Elephas maximus indicus: one gene and its partners. The protein of the gene in region 2 binds, or shares a complex with, the protein of the main gene of each other region. Links are inferred from orthologs where the notes say so. Each region holds a gene or a part of one and is shown on either strand. Other genes may lie near its edges. The genes, in order: LSM8, SNRNP40, CDC40 and BCAS2.

Region 1 (7,693 bases), on a different chromosome or scaffold from region 2:
AAATACTTCAAATGGCCTTTATTTGACAAAATATACAATACAGCATGCCTAAGAAAACCAGGATTGTTCCCTTGGTAAAGAAAATATGCCAACTGTCCTTGACTTTGGAGTCAGACTAAACTTAAATCCCAGTTTGGTTCTACCACTTATTATCTATGTGACTCTGGGAAACTAACTTACCTTTTCTTAGCTTGGTTCCTAACCTAGCATAAAGCAGCAATAATTCTTCACAGGGTTGTACTGAAGATTAAATAACATAACCTATGTAAAGTGCCTGGAACATAATACACATTTAATAAGTGGTGAAGTCTAGCACTTTGACTAGTGATAGTCACTTAATGACCCACTGAGAAAAAATCATATGGATTAAACACAGAAACAAAAATGAGACCGCAGAACAAGAAAATAAGGGGTTAAATTATATGAAGTAAATTAGAAAAGGTTAGAAAATAGAGAAAAGGTTACACCAAACCCAAACCTGTTGCAGTCTAGTAGATTCCGACTCATACAGACCCTATAGGGCAGAGTAGAACTGCCCCATAAGATTTCCAAGGCTGTAATCTTTACGGTAGCAGACTGCCACATCCTTCTCCCATGGAGTGGCTGGTGGGTTTGAACCACCAACCTTTCAGTTAGCAGGCAAGCACTTAACCACTGTGCCACCAGGGCTCCTTGGAGAAAGGTTAGCAGACTTACAACCTTTTTGAAAGCAAACACAGTATCAATTATAAATGAAGATAAAATAATTAAGTAGCCAAGTATCATGGGATAAATTCCTCAAATCAAATTCCAAAAATCAACATCAGCCATAAGAAAGTTATAGCTTTGTTATACGAGTTAAATTAGCAACTGAGGAATGTTTTCCAGAATCAGATCAAGGAGAGAATCCAAGATTTTTCTAGAATGAAAAGAGGTTATTGTGACAAAAAGGAACCCTGGTGCCACAACAGTTAAGTGCTTGGCTGCTAACTGAAAGGTTGGCTGTCCTAACCCACCCAGCCGCTCTGTAGGAGAAAAGACCTGGTGGCCTGCTTTCATAAAGATTCCATGAAGATTAAACCCTATGGGCACTTCTGCTCTGTCACATGGGGTCACTATGAGTCAAAAATCAACTCCACAGCACCTAACAACAATATTGTGACAAAAGCATAAATAAGATGAAATAGTCAGTCATATATCGTCCTACAGAAAATAGGTTATATAACCTAGGAATAGTTATAGGCTACACAAACAAGCCTTAAATGTTCATTATGCTGTATATATGTAGTATCTAAGTCATAAAAAGAACAACTTCTAAGTATACACAAAATTTCAAAAAACTTTTGATTCACATGGCAGCTGTCCAAGCTCTGAACGGGAAGGAAATAAAATATCGAAGAACAAGACAAATATGTGACCATAAGATACATATAGACATCTGCATACTAGACTAGAAGCTCCCTGATGGGAAGAATCGATTCATCCTAGGTCCTAGTAGAAGCTAGTAGGTAATGCGCACTCGATGTTTATTAACGGAAAAAAAATACAGATGAGCAGCTATTTATCAAAGACATCAGGGCAAAGAGTTAGATCATAAGAAAAGTGCAATGCAGGTATACTCTGGTTCCTACACATTAGATGTCAGAGGTTCCACATAAAAATTATTTTACTACCAATAGTTTACAAGGCAGAGAATGAAAATGCTGCATACTTACCACAATCATTCTCCCATCGGATGTAATAACAGCAACAGTTCCTGATAACTGAATCAAGGAAAGCATTTCTTAGGAAATGCTAACCGAAAACTTAGAATCTGGTAAACGCACAGTTCCAATTACTAAGAAAAGGGCGACAGAATTAAAAATAACTATTCAACATGGCCATTAAATACACAACATTAAGGACTTAAAATCTGTAGCTTTTTTTCAATCCTGTCTTCGAGATAACTACACACACACACACACAAAAGTAACAGAAAAAGAAAATTCCTTTTTCTATGTGATAAGCATCTCAAAACAGCTGGGGTATTTGGTATTCGCTTTTACTGGGAAATTTCAATTTTGAACAAGACATTCCCCACTTTCTTAGCCCTATTTCTTCATTTGTAGAATAAAAATTGTATGGCTGCTAAATCAGTCAATTTCAAGCATGTTAAGACACTGTCTTCCAGGTTTCTGGAATACAAAGGATACTATAACCAATGTCATAAGACACCAATAGGCTTGCATCATTAAAAGCCTTCAGTATTTAACTTCTGTTCACAATTTGTGCATGAATACACGATGTGCTGTTTCTGTCCTGAGACATTAAAACAGTAACATTTGTATCTGGTTCTTTACGAGTTTCGGACCATGAGGACAATTCATTGAAAAAGCAAGCATTGTTTCCATCCTAGCAACAAGGAAGATGAGCCTTCAAGTGGTAAAGCAGCAGAAATTCAATTTATGGACCATCTTTAAACTTCTGCTATCTCAACAATGAGCATGCCTGTCAATAAAACAAGTGCACAGATTTACAAGACCCTCGTCGCCACTATGACAACCGCTCACCTTATTTGAAACTTGAACGTGTGGGCCCTGGGGGAATAATAAGGCTGAATCAATAGCGGAATTCTATAGAGGCAGAGAAAAGTTCAGGATAATTACACTGGATTTACTTTACTTTAGGCCGGAATTAAAACACACCTCGGACTCGAGGCAGGAGCGGCGGGCTCGAGCCCCAGCGCAAGACTGGCTGGTCGCGGGTCCTTATCCCCCTCACCGGCACCCGGGGCCCCGTAGTAGCCAGGCGTCCCAACCCACCAGGAATCCCGAACCCCGGCCTCTCAAGCCCCGACACCACTCCGGTGCGGACACGTGCCTCGCCGCGGCGGCCTCCGGAGGATACGGTTAATGTAGTTCTCCAAAGCGGACGTCATGATGTCTGGCCCAGGAACTCCGGGCTACACGGCAGCTCCAGCAACAGCAGAAGCCAAAAATGCCCGCCACCAACTGGCCGCGGCTCGCGCCCACTGACGGCAGCAAATATCGCGAGAGTTGCTGGCGCCGTATTTGCCGTGGGTCAGAAATTGACAGAAACTGGGCCGCATATCAGAGAGCAGGAGCTGTGACGAACTGGTGCGCGTGCGCAGTGTGTTTCCGTGGTTCTTCCGGGCGGCGATCCCGGAAGCCACGGGAGACAAAAGCAAACAGGAGGCGGAAAAAAGGCAGGTGCCTGTAGGCGGGGTAAGAGGGAGTCAGGAGTGAAAGGTAGTGTGGTAGAAGTTACTAGGAAAAACTATTAGAAAAGACAGGAAAGGCGGGAGAGAACGAAATACGATGTTTTGAGTGTAAATGAAGAAGATAGGTAAGTGCTGTTGTCTTAAGAAATAGGGGTACGGGGAATTGGGATCCCTAGCTGATTTCTGCAGCACGGACTTAAAATGAAATATAAAAAAAGATAAATGGACCAAGAAAAAGTTGCACACGTTGGAGCCATAATGTTGTACATCTCTGGAGAAGACGATAAGAAAAAGCATGTTCACATATTCTCCATGTGCCTCTAAGAACTCCATTGGAGGCATCGTGATTCACTTTAACAAACTGAATCCAAACAAGTGAACGTGTGTGAGCAACTCCTAGGAAATAAATGTTTAAGCTTCTAGCAAGCCAGGAGGTCTCCCTGTCCTCAGGATAAAATGACTAAATAAAAGGCAAGTCCGCACCACCAATGAAGACTAGTCAAGAAAAGAGGTATATTATAAATGTGCACCAAATTGGGTTCTAGTCCTGGCTCTGCTACTGAATTGTGTGTCCTTATACAAGTCACTTCAGCTCTTCTGGACCTGTTTCCTCATCATTATGAGGTATCATTATTAAATAGTTTTTCAAAAATATACCATGCGCCACCTTTTAAAATGAATAATGCATGGAGCTTTTCATCCCTTGAAATGTGCTTATGTTTTGAAAATGTTTATTAACACTACATAAAGACTAACTGCCGTGGAGTCAGTTCCAACTCGTAGCTGCCCTGTAGGACAGAGTAGAACTGTGTCATAGGGCTTCCAATGCTGTAAATCCTACGGAAGCCGACTGCCACATCTACAGACTGCCACATCATCATCCGAGGCTGGTGAGTTCCTTCCACATTTGCACACTGCCACATCTTTCTTCCACAGAGCAGTAATTCTGCAGCCAAGCGCTTAACCACTGCGCAACCAGGGGCTCCTTAACACTATATAGTAACACTATAAAGTAATGATGTTAGATCCTTCCACAGCTTTCATTTTGAATATTTCAGGATGATAATGGGAAACATAATTCTTTCCATTTTATTATACTGTGGTGCTCTCAGAAGGGCTTGAAATTAGAAAAGGATCAATACACAAAACACCAGTGGGAGCTCTTTCCCCTTTTCACAAAATATCTTTTTGATTTCAGTTAGGCTTGTGATTTCTTAACTGAAGAAGTATAAATGTGAAATAACTCTTGCGAAATGAGCAATTTTCCTCTGAAAAGTCAAGCATCTGTTTTCATTAGAGCATACCCACAAACTTACCTACAAATCACTCCCCAATGGTTAATATTTTATAAACTGAAACTTACTCTGACCTGTTTGAAACCACATACAGTCAGGAATTACGTAGTGAATATTCCTGTATTTTCTAGGGGGGAAAAATGTATCATCCATAAATAAAAAATGAAGATATTGTGTGATTTGCAAATGTTAGGCATCAAATTAAAAGAAAAATGAAGAACTACTAGTTATTGAAGTATGATTAAGGAGTTTTTAAAAAATAAACTATATCCCACCTTTTTAAAATGAATAATGCATGGAACTTCTCATCCCCTGGAGTGTTGCTTATGTTTTGACATTTATTAACACCATATAGTAATTTATAGAATTAATTTAATCATAAACACATTACATTTTAAGTCTATGATCTTGTGCAGTTTTCACTAAATTAATATGCCAGATAAATAACAGATGTGCCATGTTTATGGAGCATCAGGAAATTTATCTGAAAATTTTTTACACGTGTCTTGTAACTGCTACATTTTCTGTAGCTCCCTATGATCATACATGTGGAGAGAAAGCCTATGGGTAAAGAAATGCCCATTTATTGAGACTTTACAAATGAGTTATATGTAGATGCAAACAGTACATAAATATTTTATCTAAATTAGCCTTATGCATCACTCTTGACTTGCAGCCAACATGGCACCATAGGTAGAAGCACCAGGCCACCCCTCCCCACAACAAAGACCCAAAAAACTAAGTAAAACAGAGACAGACATCATTGCTGGAACCTGAAGTGTCAAATGAAGACATAAAGAACTCAGCCAAACACCGAATGGAATAAGAAACTGAGGAGAGATACCTGGAAGGTTCCCTATCAGCTAACACAGCACAGATCCGCCATCTTGGACTCCTGTCAGGGATTGCCGGACAGGCAGTACGGCAGTGCAGCTTCACAGAGCTCCTAGCAGCAGACAGAAAACCCGATAACCAGCGATACACTCTTTCCCACCCCCACATCCTCTCCCCACTGCCCTACCTCCAAGCTTCCTGGCTGGCTGCGGTGGCTTGGCTGGCTGGGGAGTGCCGCATCCGGGCCACTTGGGTTCACCCCACCTTTATCAGAGATCCGTGGGCAGGGAGTATGAGAAAGCATCTTCACGAAGTTCCCAGCAGGAGACAGAGTACCCGGTAACAAACAACATACGCTTTCCTAACGCCCACCCTTCCCCCGCTCCCCCCGCCCCCTTACTCCCAGGCGCAGTTTTTTGGCAGGAGGCAACTGCTTTGGCCCTGGGCCGCATGGATTCCCCCCGCCCACAGTGGCCAGCCCCCTGAGCTCTTGTTCCTTCTTTCCATTTCTTTTGGTGTCTTCCATGCCTCCCACCACCTACCCCTGGTTTCTCTCAAGCACCTGGCTGTGTGTGCCATCTTTGCTTTTCTTGAAAGGCTGTGAAGCCCTGCTCAACTGGGGAACCACTCCCTTGGCCCATAACACTGTGCTGTTGGGATCCCTGGGGCTGCATTTTTTTTTTCTTGTTTTGTTTTTCCGTGTTCTGTTTTGTTTTTATTTTCTTTTTCCTTTCACAGCTTGGGAGCCCCATCTAGCCAAGCTGCACTGCAGAGATTAGGAGCCACTCTCTCAGTCTACACAGCCGCAGAGGTGGAATCCCTGGGGGCATTTCTTTTCTTTTTTTGTCTCTTTTTCCATTTCTGTCTGTCTTCATTTCTCAGTTCCCGTCTGTCTATACTTACATTCTTTTCCTGTCTCCTGAATACCTGCTGCTGTGTGATATTTATACCCTCTCTAGCCAGGCTATACTGTGCAGCCTGGGAGCCACTTCCCCGGTCTTCACTCCCCCCACCAGTGGGACCCCTGGGTTTTTTGTTTTGCTTTTTCCCTTTTTGTTTCATTTTTTATTTTCTCCATCTCTCGGTTTCTGATCTCTCTACTCCAAAGGTAAGCTCCCTCAGCGCTCTTTTTTTTCCTTTGTTTGTTTTTGGCTCCTGTTTGTCTTCTCTCTCTTCTTTCCCATACCCATATTAGCTCCACACGTCACAACCTCCCCCTATTTCCTGCTTACCTACACCATGCTCTGAACATCACAATCCTAATCAGCACAGCCTACCAGAACCTACCTAGCACTGATTCCTGGCCTGCCCTGTTGGCCCTAGTATGAGCTACAAATGGTGCATCCCAGCCCTTCACCTTCAATTGGACCTACCCTGCTGAACTATAGCTGACTGATTGGCCCTGCTTATTGGACAAGGAGGTGAAAAGTATCATGACTACAGACGAGCAAACAACAAAGAATGCAAAGCCCACCTGCTCAGACATAAATAAAATAAAAAAGCGGGACAAAACAAATCTATAATCAAGAAACAAAGAAAATAATTACTGAATGTCCCAAAGACAGCAGATGATATCAAAACATAAAAAAAAAAAAAAAAACAGGATGGTTCCAGGAGGCGTCCAAAATAAAATACCAGCTAACTTTGGAGTAGAAGAAAAGGCACTAAACTACCTGACAGGAAATTCACATCTCAGAGCAATCCAAGAGTTGAAGCAAAAAGCAGACAAAAATGAAGAAAAAATATACAAATTATGGAAAAGGCAGACAAATTCATGGAAAATTTAGACCAAAAAAATAGGAGAGCTCAAGAAAATAATACAGGAACAAAATGCCAAAATCAAGTTACAACTAGAAATCACACAAAAATGATTAGAAATCCAAAGCATAAACAAGATTTCAGAAATGGACAGTGTCATAGAAGGGCTGAGAAGCAAGTTTGAAATGGTAGAAGACAGTATCAGCAAAATTGAAGACAAATACTTGGATACAACTCTGAAGAAAAATCAGAAAAAAGAATGAAGAAAAATGAAGAAGCCCTGAGAGTTATGTGGGGTACACTCAAAAGCAAAAACTTTTGAGTGATCAGAGTTCTAGAACGGGTTGAAAGCAGAAAACACAGTGGAACACTGAAGAATTGCTAACAGAAAACTTCCCTAATATCATGAATGATGAAAATCTGACCACCCTAGAAGCTCAGTGAACCCCATGTAGGATAGACGCCAAAAGAACTCCAAGGCATATCATTCACACTTGCTAAAACCAAAGACAAAGAAAAAATCCTGAGAGCAACTCGAGAAAAACAAAAAGTCACATACTAGATTAAGCTCTAATTATGCAGCAGAAATCATGCAGGCAAGAAGGCA
Region 2 (7,657 bases):
GAGTAGAACTGCCCCGTAGGCTTTCCAAGGAGTGCCTGGTGGATTCAAACTGCCGACCCTTTGGTTAGCAGCCGTAGCACTTAACCACTATGCCACCAGGGTTTGCAGAGTCTGACCAGGGCAAATGATGTCATTAGAAGTATGCAAGGAAAAAGGACGTTTTTGGTAAACGCTAGGACATATACAACTGTGCAACAATAGGAGTGTAGATACATGTGTATGCATACAAGTGCACAGGTATGTATATTTACGTATACAGTGGGCATATACGTTAAAAGCTACAGCTGCTAACCAAAACGTTGGCAGTTCGAACCCACCAGGCACTCCTTGGAAACCCTGTGGGGCAGTTCTACTCTGTTCTATAGGGTCACTAAGAGTCGAAATCAACTCGATGGCAATGGGTTTGATTTTTTTTTTTAATATGCAGGTGTATATCGGTGTGGGCGTGTAAGTACGTATCCATATATATTCATATACACAATAAACCACATAGGCAGCAAAAACACAGATACTTATAAACATGTTGCAGGATTGGTTTACGGGGTGAAGGCTTAGGACCATAGTCTTGGGGGACAACTCGGTCAGTTGGCATAATAAGGTACATAAAGTTTATGTTCTACACCCTAGTTTGAGAAGTAGCGTCCAGGGCCTTAAGAGCTTGAGGGTGGCCATCTAAGATACAACTATTGGTCTCTACTCATCCAGAGAAAAAGAGAATGAAAAAACCAAAGACTCAGAGAAGAAACTGGTCCACAGGACTAACAGTCTGAACAAACCACAATCTCTTCTACCCTGAGACCGAAAGAACTAGATGGTGCCTGGCTACCACTACTCACTGTTCTGATCAGATCCACAATAGATAGATCTGACAGAACGGGAACAAAATCTGGAACGTAACTCAAATTCTTAAAAAGTCAGACTTACTGGACTAGTTGAGACTGGAGGACTCCCCAAGACTATCGCCCTGAGATATTCTTTAAACCTGGAACCAAAACTATCCCGTGAGGTCATCTTTTAGCTAAGTAATATATTGGCACATAAAATAAACAACATCTTCCGTGAGTACTATGCTCCTTTAAAAAAATCACCTATATGAGACCAGATGGTCAACACTTACTCTAAAACAAAGATGAGAACGCAAGGGGGCGGGAAACTAGACCATCGGAAGCACCGAGAACAGAAATAATGTGCAGTCATGGCCGATGCAGTGAAACCCAAACGGACTTGAATTTTTAAAATGTGAGTGAAGCGGATTGGGAAAAATTACAGGTTGAAGCCCTGCTAGAAACTTAATCTCCCTCTAGAAAACAAGGACAGCATGCACATTACATAACAACCAAGTATTTTGACTGTCAAAACTGGGAACAGCAGTGCCCAGCTCAAAGACGGTAGCCTGTGCCACTTTGAAAGTGTGTCACCCTCCACAGTCCTGGCAATAATTGAATCTCCCGATAAGGCTCCTGAAAAGGCTCACTATGCCTCTTCTGAGTCTCTGATCCCAGGGCTTCGATCCATAATCTTTCCCATTCTACTTCACCCAAATTTTGAGTCTTTCAGTTCTGCTTCCTCAGCCATGGCTTGAACCGGTTCAAAGTCCTGATTAGGATAAAGTAGACACAAAGTGTAAAATGTAACCAAGATCGCTGAACAAATTTTGTAGAAGTTGTTAAACGGGAAACTACTAGTTAAGTCTGTTTTCTCATCTGCAAAATAGGATAATAACAGTTCCTAACTCTTAAGATGCTACCATTATTAGCGGGGATTATATATACAAAGCACTCGGCACAGGAGCTCAGTGAATGTTAGCTATTGTTAATAATACTACTGTTGTTGTTAGGTGCCCTTGAGTTGGTTCCAACTCATAGCAACTCCATGTACAACAAAATGAAACACTGCCCAGTCCTGGGCCATCCTCATACTTGTTGCTATGTTTGAGCCCATTGTTGCAGCCACTGTGTCAATCCACCTTGTTGAGGGACTTCTGCTTTTTCCGTATCTTCTACTTTACCAAGCATGACGTCCTTCTCCAGAGACTGGTCCCTCCAGATAACAAGTCCAAACTAAGCGAGACAAAGTTTCACTATTCATTTCTAAGGAGCGTTCTTGGCTGTACTTTTTCCAGACAGGTTTGTTTGTTCTTCTGGCAGTCCATGGTATATTCAATATTCTTCACCAACATCATAATTCAAATGCATCAATTCTTCAGTCTTCCTTATTCTTTGTCCAGCTTTTGCATGCACACGAGGCCATAGAAAATACCATAACTTGGGTCAGACATATCTTAGTTCTCAAGGAGACATCTTTGCTTTTTAACACTTCAAGGAGATCTTTTGCAACTGATCTTAATTGACAAGAGTACTAGTAGTTAATACCAGTGCAAAGAAATAAAGGGAAGTTGAAAAAGAAAAAAGCAACTTGTCCTAAGTTCCACAGCGAGCCAGTATCATTCATTTTCTTCCTTACCTCACTCATTCATTCGCTCTACAAACTTTTACTGAATGCTTATTTTATGCCAGATCTCCCGAAATTTTAGGATGCGTAAGTTCGGGTCCCGACAATAAGCCCAAGGCTCTTAAACTACAATTCTAACGCCACCTCACAGGGCTGTCGAGACGGTGACGAGGTGTCAAACGCGAAAACACATACTGAACGTATGCAGGTTGTCAAGCGCTTTTACAGAATTTCCTGCTTTAACTCCATATACAGATTCTCATTCCTCCCCTCTCAGCGTGTGGAAAGGCCGGTTCGGGGCCACCTAGTGCAGAGGTCCGAGGAGAGAGGAGGATGAGCTGAGGGCCGAAGGCCGCCTACTCCTTCACTTACCGCTTGCAGCAAAGCTCCTTGCTGCTGTCCAGCTCCGGGGCCCGACCCCGCCGCTCCCAACAGCAAGTCATGCCGCTGCCGCTTGACTGGAACCAGGGGTAACTCTGGGCCCTTTCGCTTCTGCTGTTCTATCATGGCGGCAGCCACTCTCCTCAGCACCGGCACTGGCCGCGCCGACACACACAGGGACCAAGCGATTGGTTCCTACTTAGTTCTTCCCCCGGAACTTCCGGCTTGGAGAAACCAATCGGTTTCCAAGGCTCCTACCTGCGCTCTTTCCGGATAGTCTCTTGTTATTGGGCGGCTCTTCCTGACGTCGCTAGAGTACGGCTCCAGGATTGGCGGATGGAGCTGGAGTCTCGCCTAGGCGCGCTGTGTCTTGTGGGTGGAAGCGCGCTGAGAGGGTTTGGCTTTTCGCGCAGTGCAGTGGCTGGGCGACCTGGAGCTAACAGCGAGTAAGTGTAAGGAAGATCGGGGGTGGCTGCGGGACTCTGGAGGTCGCATCTCGGTAGTAGGGTCTGAGTTTGGCTTTTTTCAGGTGAAGATGCAGGTTGAAAAGGGTGGGAGGCAGGCCCGAGTTTGGAGCCCTGGTAAGTAGCAGCCTCAATTCTCTTTCCAGGCAGGAGCAGAGCTTTGGGGTCTCTTGGCGGCAGGACCCAGATCCTGCGGTTTCCCGGGGGTCCTTGCTGGCTGACTTTTTCAACAAGGGACTAATTGTGTTCAGCCCTGGGAGAAAAGGCCTGTCTCCCTGCCTCCACCAGTGTTCATTCTGACTGAGGAGGCGACACTTGTTTCTGCCACTGACTATGCAGCTTTTTGTTATGGCCTGCTGTGTGCCTCTGAGAGAGAGAGATGAAGAAAGGGTTCACCTCCGACTTCTTGAGAGGCCAGTATTGTTTAGATATTTGAGACCCATACCTGTGAACTAGGCCTTCTCTTAATCATCCAACAGATATTTATTGTGCAAAGCACTGGGGATACAGTATGAACCAACATGATCCCTGACCTCAGAGAGTTTGAGTCTGGTGAGGAAAAGGAAGTGCTACCTAGGAGAGGTAGCTGTTGCTCTGAGTGCCTGAAATAAGCAGGAAGACTTCTCTGAGAAAAAGATGCTTAAGCTGGTATCTGAGGGAAGAATTCTAATTAGGTGAAGAAGGGAAGGCGAAACATTCCATACAGAACGGCATGTGTAGAGGCCCTATGGTGGTGGGAACAAAATGACTAAAAGGCACGAACAGGCCAGAGTGGCTGGTACAAAGCGAATGAAGGAGAGTATGGCAAGATGAAGTGGAAGGTGGTTAGAAGATCACACTTTATAGGAATTTGTAGTTTTGCTTTAAGACTGATGGGCAGTCATTGAGGGTTTTGCGGGTGGCTTGATCTCTGGGTTAGTGGTGTGAATAGATTGGAGGGGAGCCCTGGGAGATGCAGATAGACCACTTAGAGGGATATACAGTAGTCCTTTGAGAGATGTTGGCAAGGATATTCTAGAGATTTATAGAAGGTGAAGTGGGTAGAACCTGGATTCAGGGAGAGAAGAGAGGGGAATCAAAGATAACGCCTAGGTTTCTGGCTTCTACAGCTGAATAGATGGTGTTACCGTTTCCTGAGGTTGGGAGAGTGAGTTCACCAGAGAAATGTAGGATTTCCAGGCAGAGTTAAGAACCCATTTTGAGACTGGAGATCATAAATTTTTTTCTGGCAACACCAGGCTTTTTAGTCCAGGCATGGAGAAAGCATATCCAGGTATGGCAAGGACTGTGGATTTGGCTCACACAACACACGTTCCAACTTCTAATGTACTGTATCTTACTGAAGAGCTGGAAAGCTAAAAACTATTTGACTCTTGAAGCTGAGAATTGGATTTGGAACTGAGCTAAATGTAGAGAGAAGCAGAGTTCAAGGCATAATTTGCTGACAGTTAATGGCAGAGGCAATGAGTTTTTCCAGTCAACAGTTCGCTGGTTTGGTGACTTTATGCAGTGATAGCCATTAGTTTCTTGATCTGGGTGGCAAAGCTGGTGTGCTTTGTTGTAGGTTAGGAGTTGTTCCTGCAAGTTCTGTCAGAGCCTGCTTCTATCACCCTTCTAGTAATTTTGAAAGCCACATAATACCTGGCAGTAAATCTCTTCTTAACCTAGCTACAGTTGATTCTGTTGTCTGCAACTGTTCCCCAACAGAGTAGGGGTACTGCCAGATAGGTAAGCTATAAAAAGGTAAAGTTAAGGGTATTACTTGAATGATGGACTGGAATCTAAGATGGACAGGGAAGAAAGCGAAGAAAAAGGCGAGGGCTGATAGATGGGAAGAAAATAGAGGCCAGTACCTCAGGGTTCTTATGTGGTCAAACAACAGTAGTCTCTTCTTGGAGATACCCATTTATCCTTAAAGGCCTACTTAGTTGTCATCTCTGAACTTCCCTGCTTCTCTCAGGTCTTTTCTTTGTTCCTTGTTTGTTCATTATCTTGAACCTAGCCATTACTTTAGCACTGACCACGCTGTGTTATAAATAGTTTCATCATCATCCCTACCAGACTAGGAGATTTTAGAGGATAGGGACTGCGTTGAAAGGGTAGTTTAGTGGCACGTGTGCTTAGCCTTTGGAATTGCCTGAGATTTGTTTCTTTCTAGCTGTGTGGCTTTGGACAAGTTACTTCATTTCTGCAAAATGGAGATACCTATTTTGTAGAGTTTTTTTAAGAATTAAAATTAGGTTTGTAAAGTACCTAGCACAAGGCCTGGCATATAAGCATCAATAAATATTGTGCTGAGTTGATGAATTAACTAACAATTTAAAATAGGGTAACATCAAGTACTTCAGTATTTTCAGCAGCCAGTTATGAATTTCTATGTGCCTTATTCTGTGTTAGGCACTGGGGATTGGGGGCGGGAGGATATGGTGATGTGCAAGACAAGGGCATGCCGACAAGAATTTCACAATCTAGAAAGGGAGGAAAACATGTTCACAAAGAGGATGATAGGATTTGAATCCCATCTCTATCATTCATAGTTTTGTAATCTTGGGCAAGTTACGTAGCTTTTCTTGTGTCTTAGTTTCTTTATCTCTAAGATGGCAGTGATAATTGCCATCTCATAGGGTGGTCAAAAAGAGGATTAAATTGGTTAAGACAAGTAGAGCTCTTAGATTAATACATGGCAAATCGGAAACACTCAAATTTTAACTGTTGTTATTAGAGTACTTGGAAGGGACCTTAGGGATTATTGCCTGAAAGAACAGTGTGAGGCAGTAGAGTAAGTACTGGTCCTGGGTTTAGTAACAACTCTGGTAACTCAGCAGCCTTTTTCAAATCACTTGACTTCTGTTAGCCTCAATTTCAGTTAAAAAAAAAAAAGCTTAATAATATAATTCCCTTCAACTTTTACATTTTATGAGTCTACCTTTTGTGCTTTTCCTGGCTTTTTACTATTCTTCTTCCCTCCTTTTGACTACTTTCTTAAGGAAGAAACACCTGTATAAGATAGTGAACTTGACAGGGAAGAAGCACGTGTCTAGGATAGTCATTTTAGAAATTTGGTGGGAAGGAGGAAGGTTAGGCCACCAATTTGGCATTTGAAAGTTTCCCATCTGCTGGCATATCCAACATGTGGGACTCAAATTCCTTCTCCTCCTGTATCTTTTAGACACTAGAACGCTTTCTGCCTTCTTTCTTTACCTCTGCTTGATTTATAGTAAGCTTTGTTCGTTCATTCAAGAAGTCTTTGAGTACCCACTGTATATCAGGACCTCAAGATTAAATAAGAAATGGTCCTTGGTTTCATGTTTGAATGAATGAATCCAGACTCTGCTCATCCTAGCTTTCTCCATGAACGATGCCCTTCTGATTACTCTATATTGATTCCTCCAGTGGTGGGACCTAGTTAGTGTTAGAGCTGTACTCTACAAAATTTAAATGTGGACTATGCATTCTTTTTGAGGCAGTGTAGCATAATGGTTAAGAATGTAGGTTCTGGAATTATTCTGTCTTTGTTTATATCCCAGTGTTAGCTGATACTCCTCTGAATTCTTTTACTTAGGTTAAAGTTAACATCTCTTTAATTCCTTCAGGCTTCTAGTTAATTAGTGTTATAAAAAAACAACAAAAAGAAATCTAAATCAACGCAGACTTAAAAACAACAACAAAAATCTAGACCAGGTCAGTATGGTAACACATGAAATGACATTCCAAAGAAGCTGTAGAGTATCTCACTAATTTAATATTATTCTAAAAACTTCTTATTTCTTGTTGGAAGGGAGGACAGGCTGTGTTTTTTTTTTTTTTTCCAAATGCGTGCACTTTTTTTTTTTTTTTTTAACTTTGAAACAATCACAAAATTATGGAGGTATAGTACAAATAACATTGAGAGTTAAGTTGTTGACCTGGGGCCCCATCACCCCTGAATGATTTAGTTTTTCCTACAAACAAGGACATTCTCCTACATAACCACAATATACTATTAAAATCAGAAAATTAACATTGCATTACTATCTCTAATCCTCCTCTCCACGTTTAGGCTCTGGATGTCCATTCTGGGCCACCCCAATGTGTGGACACCTTATCAGTTACCTTGCTCCTCCCCACACTGGGTTGCTCGTCTTTGCAGATTTCCTCTACAGCCAGCTTTGACCTGGCTCTGGGCTACCATTTCTCTACTGTTCCCCCTCTCCCTGACACTTTCCTTGCTGTGCCCCTTGAGGGTAGAAAAACTGAGTCTTTGTTGCTTCCCGACATTGTACAATTGTTTAAAGTGCTCAAATGAAATGAAGCACTCAGGGAAGATTTTCTGCCTTGAGAACTATTGCAAGGCAACTCCTAATGGTGCAAGTAAATTGACA
Region 3 (7,568 bases), on a different chromosome or scaffold from region 2:
CTGAATTTGGCTTGAATTTCTGGTAGTTCCCTGTCAATATACCGCTGCAGCTGCTTTTGAATGTTCTTCAGCAAAATTTTACTTGCGTGTGATATTAATAATATTGTTCAACAATTTCTGCATTTGGTGGGATCACCTTTCTTGGGAATAGGCATAAATATGGCAGAGAGACTAGCATGGGCAAAATCTTGAGGAGGGTGGGAGAAAAGAAAATTAGGCTTTTGGGGCTTTGTAAAGAGTTCAGCATGAAGCATGGCAGGTTTCATATGCTACGTAAGGAACTTGATTTTACCCAGTAGGCAAACATGGTGGCTATTGGGGAGGGATGAAACTGAAATTTAGGAAGATCACTCTGGGTGCACTGTGGAGCAAGGAATGTGAAGGAGGAAATAGAAAGGCAAGTTATGAGTTTATTATAATTGACCTGAAGGGGAATGATAAGAATCTAAACTGAAGAGTGGCATCAGAAAAGAGATTTGGTAAATACTAATGAATTATGCTGACTAAAAAGTTGGCGGTTTGAACCTACTCAGCAGCTCCGTGGGCGCAAAGACCTGGCACTCCGCTTCTGTAAAGATTACGGCTTAGGTCACATAGGATTGCCATGAGTTGGAATCCACTCAACAGTACAAAACATCAACAAATGAGTTACAATGGCCAGGTCCCACGATTCAAAAGTAGCGCTGAGAGAAAGAAAAGTAAAAAATAACTCCTGGGAGAAATGAAGATCATATGAAGTGAGAGTAGAAAATTAATGAAGCAGAAATGTTAGAATCCGCTGAATGATGAGCTTCAGGGGTTGAGGAAGAAAAGGATTACGGCTCTGTTCCTGGTTTGGACCCATGGGTGGGTTGTAAGGTCAGTAGTCAAAAAGGGAAAACAGGAAAAGAGTAGATTTTGATGAAAAGAAAATGTGTTAATATTTGAGCACATTGAATCTGAGGCGCCTGACAGCCATCCCGGGAGAGATGTTTAGTAAGATTCAGCCAAAATCTAAGGCACGGAATGCTTATGTAACTTATGCAAGGTTACTATTTGGTAATTGCTAGAGACAGGATTTGAATCCTAGCAGTCTTGATGCCACCACAACCCACGTTAACCACTTTATAGCGTTCATCTGTAAGTCATCAGAGTATAGAGACAGAGGCTGAAATCATGGAACAGTAGGTGGAGTGCAAAAGGAACTAAGGACGGAGCCTGGGGAAACTCCAATATTGAAAGGGGAGACAGGTCAGTGGCCCTGAAGACTGAGGTTGGCCCCATGGAAGCCAAAAGGAGAAAAACTTACAAGAATGATGAACTATTATTTAAGAGTCACCTGATGCAGCCAGGTGACAGAATTTGACAATTACAAGGCTTCTGATTCTAGATTACTCAAGGACAGTAGTTTCCCGAGAGGCTAGGGCCAGACTCTGATTGAAAAGAAAATGAGATGAAGTGAAGAGAGGGAGTGCAGCTCCCTCTTCCAAAAAGCTAAGCTGTTGAAGGAATGTCACCTCAGGAGGTTGCCGGAGGAGTATGAGTTTAGCGAGTGTTGTTTTGTTTTAGATAGAAGAGCTTTAAGCATTCTTTCATGCCAGATGTTCATTAATAAAAAATAAAATTCATAAATGGCTTACTAAAACCCTGTAAAAGACTTACTATATTGGTTTGAAACATCTTAAATACAAAGGAATTTTTGCACACTGCCTTCCCTTTCTATATCTTGAGCTTCTGATCACCCCATCAGGCTCTACTGGGTCCACATTGATGGATGTTTTCACCAGACTCCCACCACATGGGTCTTTCTTCTGTTCTTCATACATGCCAAGCTCTTTGCCATCTCAAGGCTTGCCATCCCCTTTGCCTGGAAGCTCTTGTCTTAGCTTGTACATAGCTGGCTTCTTGTCTTTCTTCAGGTCCAATCTTTTGAGAGAGACCTTCCCTGACCAACCTATCTCAAGGCATATTCCTATCTTATTTTCTACCATAGTACTGCATGGTTTCTCTTCTGAGTCCAATCTATAACCACTTCATTTGCTCATTTTTTATTGTGTCTCTCCCACTAGAATGTATGGATCATGATGGCAAGGATGTCTGGCTTGTTCACCTGAGTCTTCAGTCCTTAATACAGTTCCTGGCAAATAACAACGTGCTCAGTAAATATGTTGAATAAACTTAATAACCGAACATCTCCCTCTATTACTTCTTCCATTGCGATCATGCACACTGTTTCTTAAATTCAAGGTCCTTTTCTAACATGTAATAACATACATAATAAAAAAAAAATACCTAATAATTACTGAACTCTCACTGGGTACCACGCACTGTGCTATTAGCTTTATTTGTATCGTTTCACTTAACCTTCAAAATAGTCCTCTCACATATGTAAGTGCTGTTACAATTACCTTCGCTGAACAGACAAGGAAACGGGAGGTTGCATAATTTGCCCAAATTCACGCATTTTAGTTTGGGCAGTTCTGATGTAGCTTTACTCATACTGAGATTGTACTTGCTCTATCTAGGCCACGTCCCAATCCATAAATTCAAATTTCACCGCTTCCCCCCACCCCACTTTCTCAACTGCTTTCTTAGGGCAGGAGATAAAGGCAGGAAACAGTGAAAAAAAATTCCAGTTCTCGATTTCTCTCCAGGAAGACGCATATAGGGAGAAGAAATCCAAGCGTTAGCAATTTCTCTTTCAGTAGTAAGGAAGCGGTAACTCCGGGCTTAAGGAGCCTTCGCGGCTGCCGGGTTTGGGACAAATCCCGCACCGCAGCAGCGGCCAAAGTGCTTACCTTAACTGCCACCTCCGGAGCCGAGTCCACCGCCACTGTCAGAGAGGGCTTGGCAGAAGGCGATTTAGTCAAGTGCATGAGGGAATCGGCGGCTGGCAGCGAACACCGTCCACCCTCACTGTCCGAGTCCGATTCGGACCCTGAACCCGAACCATAGGAAGCAGCCAAAGCTGCAATCGCAGCCGACATGACGGCAACAGATCTTCTGCCGAGACCAGGCCCCGGCGGAAGAAGTGGCACGCAGGTCCTGACAGATTACCATGGAACACATTATTTACCTCGTTTCGCTAAGAAATCATTTATAACATTTTAAAACAACAAATTAATTATTAGTATAATAACCACAGGAGAAATAAAAATTTGGAAACACTTATCTAGAGAAACAGAGACAATTAAATAACTTATAGCTTTCAGGACCTATTTGACTGACTCGGAGACTACCAGTTCCGAAACACCTTGAGGCCTCGAAGTCCTAACTCCCGGCGTGCCGCGCGGCAGGAAGTGGGAGAAGGTACAATGGGAAGTGTAGTTTGGAGTGAGGGGGCGGGGCGCGGAGGGCCGTCCTCTCTCGACCCCGCCCCTGAATAGATGGTTCATTCAATTGGCTATCATCTTCCCTCATTCCCTAGCCAAGCGCTGTTCTCTCCGTCCCCCTCCCCCAAACTGAGGATAGGGCAATACCATACATCCTCAGGAAAGAGGGGAATAGCGATTCTTACCCCCTAGTGATAGGTGAGTGGGCGGAGGCTGAGTTTCCCACAAGGGCTACACCTGGGCGCTGGAGACTGAAGAGGAACGTAAGTCTTAAGTTCGAAGACCTTTATGGGCGGGGAATAGTTCCTGGTGGGAAGGATGGAAGGTTAGATGGATGAGAGTCCAGCCGTCCCCCCTGCTTCTGGCGCGGGTCCCCTCGCCCGGTTGTGGAACGTCGCGCGCGGGGAGGGGGCGGGTGGGGGGGGCGGCGGCGGCGGCGGCGGCGGCGGCGGTTCGCGGTGTTGTTCGCTGGCGCGTCGGGCACACGTTGAGTCCGGCGACCGGCGGACGCCGTAGGCGGCAGTCCCTGTCCCTCTTAGCCTTAGCCGCTGCCGGGAGTGGGTTCCGCCCCAGAGCCCGACATTCCTGGGCGCTCCGGGTGGAGTCCAGGGAGCTCAGCGACTACCGTCGAAGCATGAAGAAGGGGTAAGCAAGAGCCCCCTTAAGATTTCACGGTGAGCGCGAGTCTCTCAGGAATTGCCCTTTTTTTTTTTTTTTAGAGGGTGGGGGTTTTGGGGGTTGCTAGTAGAGGAGCTCCTCAGCATTCGGAACAGAGAGAGGTGTGTGGGGATCTCTAGCCCCTCAAAGGTTACGGGGATGGGCGCGCCTGCCCCCTGCGATGGTCCCCACCCCCACTCGTGGGTTCCCGATCTCCCGCCGCCCACCCGCCCGCCGGGCTGGGTGCTGAGGGAGACGGCGGCGGGCGCTCCTGGGTCTCGGTTGCAGGGGCCGCCCTGGGGTGCTTTAGGTGAAGAGACTGCGGGTCTCACCTGAGGTGCCGTCGCCGGAGCTCCCCTGGCCACCTGCACCCACGGCCAGACCCCGTGCCTCCTAGCTTTGGGGAAGGCTGCAGCACTGGGTCGGGGAGAAGCCCCTGCTGCCTCTACGTTTCCGCTGCTCTGTAAAGCAAGCTTGTGCGTTTGCGTGTTTGTGCCGCTCGTCTGTGTCTAAAGACATAACGGTAAAGCGAGTGGGGGACCCTTTATTCGTTTGAAGAGGATGCGAAACGGGGCAGGCGCCTCGGCAGGGTGTACCTCGGGCAGAGTTAAGGAGCTGCTCGCTCAGCTCCGATGTCGGCAGGACTCGCCCATTGTGCCACCCAGATAATTATTCAACTATGCAGCATCCGTTGCACCTTTCCCATTTTTCTTTTCCCCTTGCTACAGCATGCCCCCTAGCTTCGGCGCCCTGACGCCTTCTCTTGCACTTGAGGAACTGAAATAATGATGAAAAGACAGCACATCTGACCTGAACATTCACGACCTGTCCTATAACCGATTAGTTAGTTAATCCCTAGCTACACTAGGTATTTTAACATGGCTCAGTTTAATCCTATCCCTTTCTATGTAAGATGTGCATTACAATATACTTTTTTTCTTTAGTGTTAGATTCACGTGCTGGTTAAATCTTATTTCTGTTCAGCAATTGATTTATTGCTTATTCAGTACGTCTTATTTAACGTACTTTATTTTGGATGTTAGGTAACTTCCATTTTCTAATTGTTGATAGCACTACATTTATCCTATTTACAAGTGCAGTATTTACGAACACATGAACTCTAACAGTTTTGTTGTATGCTCCAAGCTTCTTTTGGGAAAAGTTTTTTTTTTTTTTTAATTTGTCAAATTTGTGAATAAGGTATTTGATACACAATTTCTCTAATTTTGATTAAGAAAAGTTTTGTATTTTCAGTAGGAGGATATTTGATTGCTAATAGTTTCCAGTTGAATGAAAGGGAGGATTTAATATTTAAGATGGGATTTTAACTGCCGTATTGAACGTTCCCTAATTTACTTAATTTTTTTTTTATTCAATTCTTTTCTTTGGCAATGTCATGCATTTAATTACTTCTTACAGAATTTACCGTTATTTTTCTAACTTCTGTCTACAAGGATGGATAGGCTTCTTTTTATGTGATCTACCTGAAAGATGAAATATTTTTTGAAACTGTAAGAAACAACTGTTGGTTACTTGATGATTATGTTAAAAAAAATATACATGTTGTTATTTAAAGTTTTTCACTGCTCCAAAGTGAGTGTTTTTATTTTCTTAGTCCTCTTTTTCCAGCTTTCATTGTTTAATCTTGTTGAATTAATCCTTCACACTTCTGATAAAATGAAATTGTACATAGGTATTGCAGAGGCAGTTCTTTTAAGGTACAGTAAATTGTTTTTTGGCACTTGGAAGTGGCAAATGTATAATAAAACTTGATGGTGTAGGCTCAGGTTCTTGGTTAGGAAATGACCTTGCAATTTACAAAATGGACACCTTTGTGCCTTGGTTTCCTTACAGGTAAATGAAGATAATACTGATTTACATGACTAGATAGTGTGAATAAATTCAGTAAAGATGTTTTCATAATACATTTAAAGAATATTTGAATATTTTAGTTGATGACTAATGAAAATAGCTCAGTGTAAACTGCAATGAAAAATGTCATAATTTTCCTTCATACATTGGAATGCCTCATTTACGTTGAATTTTGCTTTGGAGAGGAATGGCTCTAAAATGAAGGGTGTTTCTCATCCATCAAGAGTTTTTTTAGGTTTACTGATCTATGTGAAAATAGTTAATATTAATGAAAAAATTATATGACTTGGTAATGAAACAAGTAAAACATTGAGTAAGTTTGTGAAAGATAAAATTTATAAAAAATCTTAAGATCTTTTTCATTGCAAATTTTTCAGGTTAGAAAATCCAGAATACGTAGTTGTGATCATTTGTAAGGTATGATATGGAGCTACTGTTTCTGTTATTCAGGTTTGTAAATAACCGTAGATTCAGAGACAATGTGTTAATATTGCATAAGGCTGTAACCATACATTTTACTTTATCATAAGAATACTTTATGAAATCCTTTCTCTTTGATTTTCATTACCACAGTAGACAGGAGTACTTTAAGATATCTTTTCTCAGTGTTTGGTTTTTATTACTATAGAAGATAGTAATTTTTGATTTGCTTATTGAAGAATTTAACTCAATTTTCATAGCAAAAACTACTATTAAAATACTACATTATAAGTACTTTTACCAAAAGTGTTTTCAGTTACCTAATGGGAAAACTTCACATAAATAAGACTATTAAAATGTGTCTTTAAAATTACTACTTGTAATTTCTTTTTTGTGAATTAATTTAGATTTATCAAACAAATTTTAATTTCTGGAACATCATATAGCTTTATCTCAGAGAAGAGAAGGGAAGAATGTATTTGGGGCTCTCTGAACTTCACTTACCTCTTCAGATATAGTTCATAATTACTTTACCCACACATTTTTAAAAATAGCACTAGATACTGAATAATGTAAAAATAGGCAACTTTCACTTGTGGAATGATATTAACAGTTTTATTCTCACCCCTTATATCTCACTTCATAAAAATGTACATTAATTTTTTTGTTTTACCCAAATTTGATCAATATAGAAATTTGTTTCTTTTTTGACTTATCTTATTTTCAAGCAATCTATTAATAAAAATATGTATGTTAATTAAATCCTGTGTTAAATGTCTGAATTGTTATTGGCTGCTGTTGAGTTGGTCCCCAACTGATCAATAGGGTTTCCATTGCCTGATTTTTGGAAGTAGATCACCAGGCCTTTCTTCCTAGTCTGCCTTAGTCTAGAAGCTCCACAAGCCTCCACTTATAGACTAGTGGTGGTTACAAATGAGGTGCATTGGCGGGGAATCAAATGTGTGTGGAAAGATCAGAATACTGGGAGAGAGGGATATGAAACACAGCCATGTTCGTCATATATGGTGGAGTATTTTGTAGCTTTTCGCTTCTTATTGGGAAGTTACTAATACTTAAGAATAGTGTATAACATGGTCTCCTAAGAGGAGAAGAAATAACAGTGCATGTTTACTATATGAGCAAGTCATCCATACATTTATTGTCTTATTTAATTGATATTGCAGTCCTGTGAGGATTTTGTGGAAGAAGGAGGTAAGTTATTTACTCTACCCAGCAGAGGCCCAGGTTCTTTGGGAACTGCTTACTCCTCTAATCCCCTTTTCTCAATGAGTTACTGCTAGAAGAGCC
Region 4 (7,500 bases), about 94 Mb from region 2:
ATTTGGGTTGCTATCATGTGCCAGGCACTGTTCTAGGTGATAACGATACAGTGGTAAAGAGGACAAACAAGGTTGCTGCTCATGGAGCTAACATTCAGTCTCATCTCAGCACAGATAGGATTTCCTCAAGAATGCAATCTAAAGCAGCCACTGAGCCACTCTATCACATCATTACTTGAATTCTTTGTATATCATTTATGAATAATCCACTACTTGCTGATTTATTTCTCTGTTTCAACACGCTAGGATGTAAGCTCCACGAGGACAGACCTTGCCTATCCTGTCCCCCCAAGTGTGGCACGTAACAAACCTTTATAAATAGTTGTTAAATGAATAAATGGAAGAGCAGTTTCAAGGGCAATTTGAGGAGTGATTAAGATCTTGAACACAATTACCCACCTAAACAATGGGGATAATACAGATATTTGTTCATAGGGCTGTTCTGATGACTAAGTAAGCCCAGAACAATATTTACCTCCTATTTTTAAGAAAGGATTAGGTCCCCAGACCTTCTGTTAGCCCAAGACAGGAGCCATTCCCAAAGCCAACTCTTCAGACAGGGATTGGACTACTATGGGATAGAAAATGATACTGGTGAAGAAAGACCTTCTTGGATCAAGTAGCTACATGAGACTATGCTGGTATCTCCTGTCTGGAGGGGAGATGAGAGAGCAGAGGGGTCAGAAGCTGGCCAAATGGACATGAAAAGAGAGAGTCAAGGGAAAGGAGTGTGCTGTCTCATTATGGCCAGAGCAATCAGGAGTATATAAAAGGTGTGGGTAGTGGTGGGTATAAATTTTTGTATGAGAGACTGACTAGATTTGTAAACTTTCACTTAAAGCACAATTTTAAAAAAGGGGGGTTAAATAATCAGTATACTAGTTATAAAGATTGAAAACATGTTGTATTTGAGAGAGCAAATTAAAGTAAAAATAAATTTAAAAACTGGTTAAAATATTTAAAAGTTTCAGTCCAATAAGGAAGCATTACTGTACTTAGTACTTAATGTGAAATAACCCACATTTGGGTAACTACAAAGGAGCCCTGGTAGTGTAGTGGTTAAGTGCTCAGCTGCTAATCAAAAGGTTGGTAGTTCGAACCCACCAGCTGCTCCACAGGAGAAAGATGTGGCAGTCTGCTTCCATAAAGATTATAGCCTTGGAAACCCTATGGGACAGTTTTACTCTGTCGTTCAGGGTCAGTATGAGACAGAATTGAATTGATGGCAACGGGTTTTTTAGTTTTGGGTAACTACATTTAAAAAAAAGTATGAGAAAACAGAACCCATCAGCTACTCTGCGGTAGAAAGGTGTGGCAGTCCGCTTCTGTAAAGATTTACAGCCTTGGAAATCCTATGGGACGGTTCTACTCTGTCCTATAGGGTCGCAGTGAGTTGGAACCAGCTCTGTGGCAGTGGGTTTGGTTTTGGTTTTTACGTGAAATGCCGAACGAAACAGAATTTCAAAGGAACATCTCTCTCCTACTTAAAATTTAACCAACATTTTTTCATGTAACAAATATAAATACTGCTTTTTAACAACAAAATCCTCTCCTAAATAAATGGTTGCATATAGGGAGGGGAAAACGCCAAACATAATGTTCGGAAATGCCTAAAACAATCCAGTAATTTAGAAATACTTTACATTCAGCGGATTAGACCATAATCAGTATCCTGGGTTCACTCCTACGGTAAACAGTTTAAAACGGTATCCAAGTGTCCTGTCTCCCCGCCCCCCATCCAAAAGTAGAGTTCCCATGAAACCTTTCCTAAGACGAAATGGCTTACAGCGAAGAAGCAATTACCATTAACTTATATGGGAAAAAATTTGGGGCATTTCCAGACCCCCCCCCCAAAATAACCTACCAAATAACATATAAAACATAAAATAATACCAACATATAGTAAAAGCTGAGATGCTGAATGTAATTCCCGGGGAAGGAGCTTGGCGACGCCGCCACTCTCGCCGCCTCTTTAATGGCTAGGTGCAAAACAAATGCTGAAAGCTATTTCTGGTTTTCGTAACATCGAAAATCCTCTTGGGATTTCTTTCTATTAGTGAAAACAGGTACTCATGTAGGTCTTTTCGTAGAAGCGAAGTGGCGAAAGGCAAACTTTGAAAAGCGGGGGATACCTGTATAGGTACCTTGGTTTGCCCATTCGGTCATTCTCATCCATTTGGTAAAATACAAATAGAAAGCCCGCCCTCCAGTGGTTCTCAAGAGCCAAGGTAATTAAGCTTATTAAAACACACAAAAAAAATCCCAAACTAGATCACTTGTTTTAGAGTAGACCTTATAGAGTAGCGGGTTCCTTTGAAAATTTATGTGTGGATCCCATTTCAGAAAAAAATGTACACACAAGTTTCTGCATTAAGTTTGGGAGTTCGCGGAGCATCCCCCCTCCTCCCCGAAAGTCCTTCTAAGGGTCTCAGGATAAGAGGCCCGGAGAATGCTTATCCATCTAGTTGTTTTCCATAGACGGATACCCATACGTCAGAGTAAGAGCTAAGCAAGCAATAGTTAGAGTGGGAATCTGAAATTCACTTTTACGTAGCGAAGGCTCTCAATCCAAAATAAAGATTCGTGGAATTATCTTCCACGTCCGGGGCTCAAGACAGCTCACTTACTTCAAAAGCAGAATAATCCGGGGCTGTCAGGTAGCTCAGGTAGTTCTTTGTAGGTCGGTATCTCCGAGTTTCCTCCTCCACCAGAGCCGCAGCCTGAGAACGAGAACGGGGGCCAGGGTAGGGGCGGCAAACTGTCACGTGTATCTTCCAGCATTGTGAAATCTAGCAAGCGCCGAGTCAGCTACAGACACCCCTCACTCACCGCTTCCCGCACACCAGGCGCTTCGTAACCTTGATCAAAATAGGGCAGCGCATCCACCACAGCCTCTCCGGCGACCAATCCTGTGCCCGCCATTCCGGGTACCTCAGGTCCGACTGAGTTTTCTGAGTCTGCGCAAACTCGAGTACTCTCAACTACGCCTGCGCCTACCCCGGACGTCGTCCGTATCGCCTGCGCCTGGGCCTCAGCACTTACTCAATCGCCAATTCGAAAGGCGCGCTCGCCCCGCCCCTTAGAAGAGCCGGGCCCTTTTATTTTGGTGGGCCGTGACGTCACGTCCGGATTCCCTAGCGTCAGCGGAAGGTCTCGGTTGTTTGTCTCCCTCTTGCTCTTTTTTTGTCTGCCTCCGACTGGAAGCGGTTTGGTGAAGACGAAAGTTTCCTTTATTTAAAAACTAAAATGCGGGAGGGGAGGCCTTTAAAACTTTTTGCGGCAACTGGCTGCAGGGTTTGGCGGGGAGAGAAACTAGTTTACCAAATTGGCTTACTCCCCTAACCTTTCTTCTCCCCTGAGCCTTCTCTCCCCCTGTGGTAGCCTTTCCTCCTCTTGAACTTCTTTGCAGCACCCCACTATCCTTCGCTTTAGGCGTCCTGAGAATATCTGCATTGGGTAGTACAGTTCTTTCACAGACACAAGAAGTGTATGCCAGTCTTCAGTTAAAACTGTGAAACTTGGGGTCTGCGTAACAAGAAGAATCATATCTGCCCACCGCGAAACTGATAACCGCTCATCAACCGCACTTTGAACAATCCTGTCATTTTGCTTTTAGGGCGTATACAAAACCCAGTCATTTTGCCTCCAGGACTTCTGGTAATAGAAACGCACTCCTCATTGCCCCCCAACCAGCCCGGTGCACTGCAGTGCCCTGTGTGGTACGTGGCTCTCAGCCTCCTTTGATGAAGCAAAGACCCTACACAGTGTACAGTCTAACCCAGGCTTTGTCAGCCAAGAGCCTGGAAATGTTGACCACAGTTATTAAGCCTGGTTGGTATAAAATTGATTCGGATTAGCTTTCTGTTGTGTGCTGACCAGTGGATTCCAACTCATACCGACCCTATAGGACAGAGCAGAACTGCCCCATAGGATTTCCAAGGCCATTTTTTTGGAGGGGAGGAGGTTTAATCTATACAGAGGAGCACTTGTGGTGCAATCGTTAAGAGTTTGGCTGCCCACCAAAAGGTCAGCAGTTCCAATCCACCAGCTGCTCCTTGGGAACCCTATGGGGCAGTTCTACTCTGTCCCATAGGGCCCCAAGAGTTGGAATCTACTCAATGGCAACAGATTTGGCTTGGTTTTTGGTAATCTATACGGAAGCAGATTGCCGTATCTTTCTCCCACTGAGTGGCTAGTGGACCCAGATCACCAACCTTTTGGTTAGCAGTTGAGCTCTTAACCACTGCACCACCAAGGCTCCTTGATTAGCTTTCTAATTTACCATTATTTAGATAAATGTGCTACCCATGGATTTAAGTGAAGGATAAGATCTCTAAGTTCCTAGGTGGCTCAACCAGTAATCTAACGCTTGTCAGTTCAAACCCAACCAGCACATCATGGAAGAAAGGCCTGGGGATGGATCTGCTGTTCTTAAGATTAAAGCCAAGAAAACCCTATGGAGCACTTCTACTTTGTAACACATGTGGTCTCCATGAATTGGAATTGATGCAATTTTTTTTTAAATAAGATCTCTAAATCTTAATTTTATTTAAAATTGTCCAGACGTCTGTGGGATTTTTGTGTGTTTATTCTTTTAAAGATCTGTAAACATTTTATACAAATCTTGAGCAAGTCTTTTACAAACATGTCCAGAATATGTAACACTTTACAAAAACAAAATATAACAGACCTAGGGGAGCAGCTTCAAATTGCAGGGATAAAGTCCCCCATCCTGAAGCAAAGATCTCCTCATAGAGGGATGGTAAGGAATGCACCACAGTAATCCCTCTTACTCCCATTTTATAAACACTCAATTCCCAATTACTGCTTGCTTGTTCCCTCAGGGTTTCAGTGTTAGAAGAAATCAAACGAGGAGATGTCTGGTAAAAGCCCCACTGGGGTAAGCTGCTTAATAAACATTTTTAATAAGACATGAGCTCAGTTCTATTCCCTGGACCCACATCTATAGGAATTATATTACACAGCACCGTTCTTTACATGGTGTCGGCTTCAGATTCATGCATGCACACCTGAATGTGTTGTTAAGACAATACTGTACAAGTCAATAAATTGTAGCACAACACAACTTTTAAGGTTTTGTTAAGTCTGAATACTTTTTATGCCAGTTAAAACCATTAGCAGGGTTTGAAGAAAACAGACTGACATCTGCTATAACATTTATCAGTGAAAACTGCCTCTCATTAACAAATTCCTCTTTCCAATGATTAATACTAGTTTAGAAATTAAGGATTTGGGTGGTTAAGTGGAGGGAGCCCAGGAAAGTTCATAATTCTGAGTTCAATTTAATTAGGGCAAAAAGTCCAACAATTCATGAGGAGCTAAAAAAAGAGTCTTATCTCAGGTACTATAATTTAAAGTCCCTCATCCTCAGAGCTGGGAGGTGGCCCTGGTATGGTTCAGCTTAATAGGAAACTTTTTAAATACTGAAATCCCACAGAGAGCAAATTTTCATCTGCAGTACTAACCAACTTGCTCTGCGTACATAAAATAATAGTCCTGGGCGTCAATATGGGCTCTTTTGTGTAACTTTGGGCAAGTTATTTCACCTCTTTGAATTCCAGTTTCTTCACTAGTAAAATGAAGATGCAAATATCTGTCTCATAAAAATTGATGTAAGGATTGAATAAGATGACATACATACATGTAGCATAGTACACAGCACATGATGGATAATTAAAAAAAAAATGGTAGTTCCCATGCCCTTGAAAGGACATTTTCCTAGCAACTATAATTCCACAAAGTTTAATGTTGACACATGAGGGACAAGCTACCCAAGTGCAACATATTGTGAAGGAGGAGCTCCAAGACATCTATATTTATGAAGCAATACCAGTCCTAACAAAAAGGATTTCTACCTAAGTGGGATTCTCCTAGATAGAACATGAGACAAAAAATCAAAAAACAGGAGGCATATGATTATATTACTTAGCCCAGCTCAATGAGTCCATGGGGTTAAAGCTGCCATGATATTTCGGTGATGAGAATTATGTGTGTAGGGCTAGTGTTCTCCACTTCCATCATGCTTTTCTAGTACCCTAATCTCGGCATTTCCCTTGTTATGTTAATCTTTGAGCTGTTTTTTAAATGCAAAACCAACAAGTCTGTCCCCTGCAAAAGACAAGTGCCTTCCTAAACTAAGCACAAAACGATGAGTCCAAATATCAAGTAAAAAGCCCACTTAAAAAAAAAAAATTGGAGGCAGACTGAAGAGAGCATTGGTTCCAGATTACCGCCAACAATTCTCCAGTGATTACCACAGCAGCAACAGGAGAGTCCTCCTCTGAAGGCAGGCCTCACTCTGAAACCTTTTAAACTTCCAAGGAGTTTGCAGAATACCTCAAGGCATCTGACTCTTGGGAAAATATTTTCTTTGGCACATTCCCTTCTAGTTAAGATAGAGACAGTCAATCAAAGATTTCATTTCTTCTGGAGAAATTTCATTTTACTCCCTAAAAGAAAAAAAAAAAAGGAAATTCTCATTAATTCATTTTTACTTATCGTAGATTATTTGAGGCAAATGGCTAAAATTTAGTCATTCAGAATAGCCCATGAGTAAGCTATCAGGTGATATGTATTCTGAAATGACATATTTTAAAATTAACCAGCAAAAAAACTCCCAAGTGTCTAATTGTAGAGGTAGAAGAGTATTCAGACTTTGGAGCTGAGAACCACTGATCTAATAATCACTGTGGTTTAAAGAGGAAATAACAGCCTGGGGCATAATTTGTCCAAGGTCTCTCAGCTCATTAGGGACAGAGCCTAATTAGGAACATATATTTCAAAGACCAGTATAAATACCATAGAATTTAAGTTCGTTGTTTTAGACTAGCTATACCACAGTTCCTAGATCCCCTGGATAATTAACAGTTAACTGTAATTGAAAAAATTACATGAACATCTGTGTTTCTCTATGATGCATAAAACATTTGTAGGAAATTTCCTTTTGCCTCAGATTCCATGCAAACCAGGTGTTTTTTTTTTTTAATACAATTTATTTTGTTGTTGTTGAAAACATACACAGCAAAACATACACCAATTCAACAGTCTCTACATGTACCATTTATTGACATTGATAACATTCTTCAAGTTGTGTAACCATTCTCAACCTCCTTTGAGTTGTTCCTTCCTCATTAACATAAATTCATTGCCCCCCTAAGGTTTCTATCTAATCTTTAGAATTGCTATTGTCAATTTGATCCAATATAGATAGTTCTTAAAAGAGCATAATGCTCAGAGTAGACATTTTTTACTAGTTGAGCTAAACTATTGTTTGGTTTTAAGAAGACTTGAGGGGATATTTTTGATTTGAGGTTTAAAGATTATCTCAGGGCAATAATTTCAGGGGTTCACCCAACCTTCATGGTTCCAGGAACTCTGGATTCCATGAGAATTTGAAATTCTGTTCTGCATTTCCCCCCTTTTAATCAGGATTCTATGAACTAAACCAGGTGTTTTTAATCTGGAGTCCATGGATGGACT

Evidence for each region.
Region 1: SNRNP40 (region 2) and LSM8 share a complex: the UniProt entries of both Homo sapiens proteins name them as parts of the U4/U6-U5 tri-snRNP complex. The link is inferred for Elephas maximus indicus from reciprocal best matches to the Homo sapiens genes SNRNP40 and LSM8.
Region 3: SNRNP40 (region 2) and CDC40 share a complex: the UniProt entries of both Homo sapiens proteins name them as parts of the postcatalytic spliceosome P complex. The link is inferred for Elephas maximus indicus from reciprocal best matches to the Homo sapiens genes SNRNP40 and CDC40.
Region 4: SNRNP40 (region 2) and BCAS2 share a complex: the UniProt entries of both Homo sapiens proteins name them as parts of the postcatalytic spliceosome P complex. The link is inferred for Elephas maximus indicus from reciprocal best matches to the Homo sapiens genes SNRNP40 and BCAS2.

What each region holds. Positions count from the first base shown.
Region 1 is NC_064826.1:31,453,742-31,461,434, forward strand, and holds the start of LSM8 (LSM8 homolog, U6 small nuclear RNA associated), read right to left. Parts: upstream 3,008-7,693; 5' UTR 2,897-3,007; coding exon 2,866-2,896; intron 1,736-2,865; coding exon 1,695-1,735; intron 1-1,694. UniProt on the Homo sapiens protein: Plays a role in pre-mRNA splicing as component of the U4/U6-U5 tri-snRNP complex that is involved in spliceosome assembly, and as component of the precatalytic spliceosome (spliceosome B complex).
Region 2 is NC_064821.1:72,228,334-72,235,990, forward strand, and holds the start of SNRNP40 (U5 small nuclear ribonucleoprotein 40 kDa protein), read right to left. Parts: upstream 3,004-7,657; 5' UTR 2,959-3,003; coding exon 2,824-2,958; intron 1-2,823. UniProt on the Homo sapiens protein: Required for pre-mRNA splicing as component of the activated spliceosome. Component of the U5 small nuclear ribonucleoprotein (snRNP) complex and the U4/U6-U5 tri-snRNP complex, building blocks of the spliceosome.
Region 3 is NC_064819.1:176,116,878-176,124,445, reverse strand, and holds the start of CDC40 (pre-mRNA-processing factor 17), read right to left. Parts: upstream 3,008-7,568; 5' UTR 2,967-3,007; coding exon 2,778-2,966; intron 1-2,777. UniProt on the Homo sapiens protein: Required for pre-mRNA splicing as component of the activated spliceosome. Plays an important role in embryonic brain development; this function does not require proline isomerization.
Region 4 is NC_064821.1:165,984,269-165,991,768, reverse strand, and holds the start of BCAS2 (pre-mRNA-splicing factor SPF27), read right to left. Parts: upstream 3,002-7,500; 5' UTR 2,923-3,001; coding exon 2,830-2,922; intron 2,721-2,829; coding exon 2,628-2,720; intron 1-2,627. Other genes in the region: DENND2C (DENN domain-containing protein 2C), read right to left, coding at 6,439-6,470. UniProt on the Homo sapiens protein: Required for pre-mRNA splicing as component of the activated spliceosome. Component of the PRP19-CDC5L complex that forms an integral part of the spliceosome and is required for activating pre-mRNA splicing.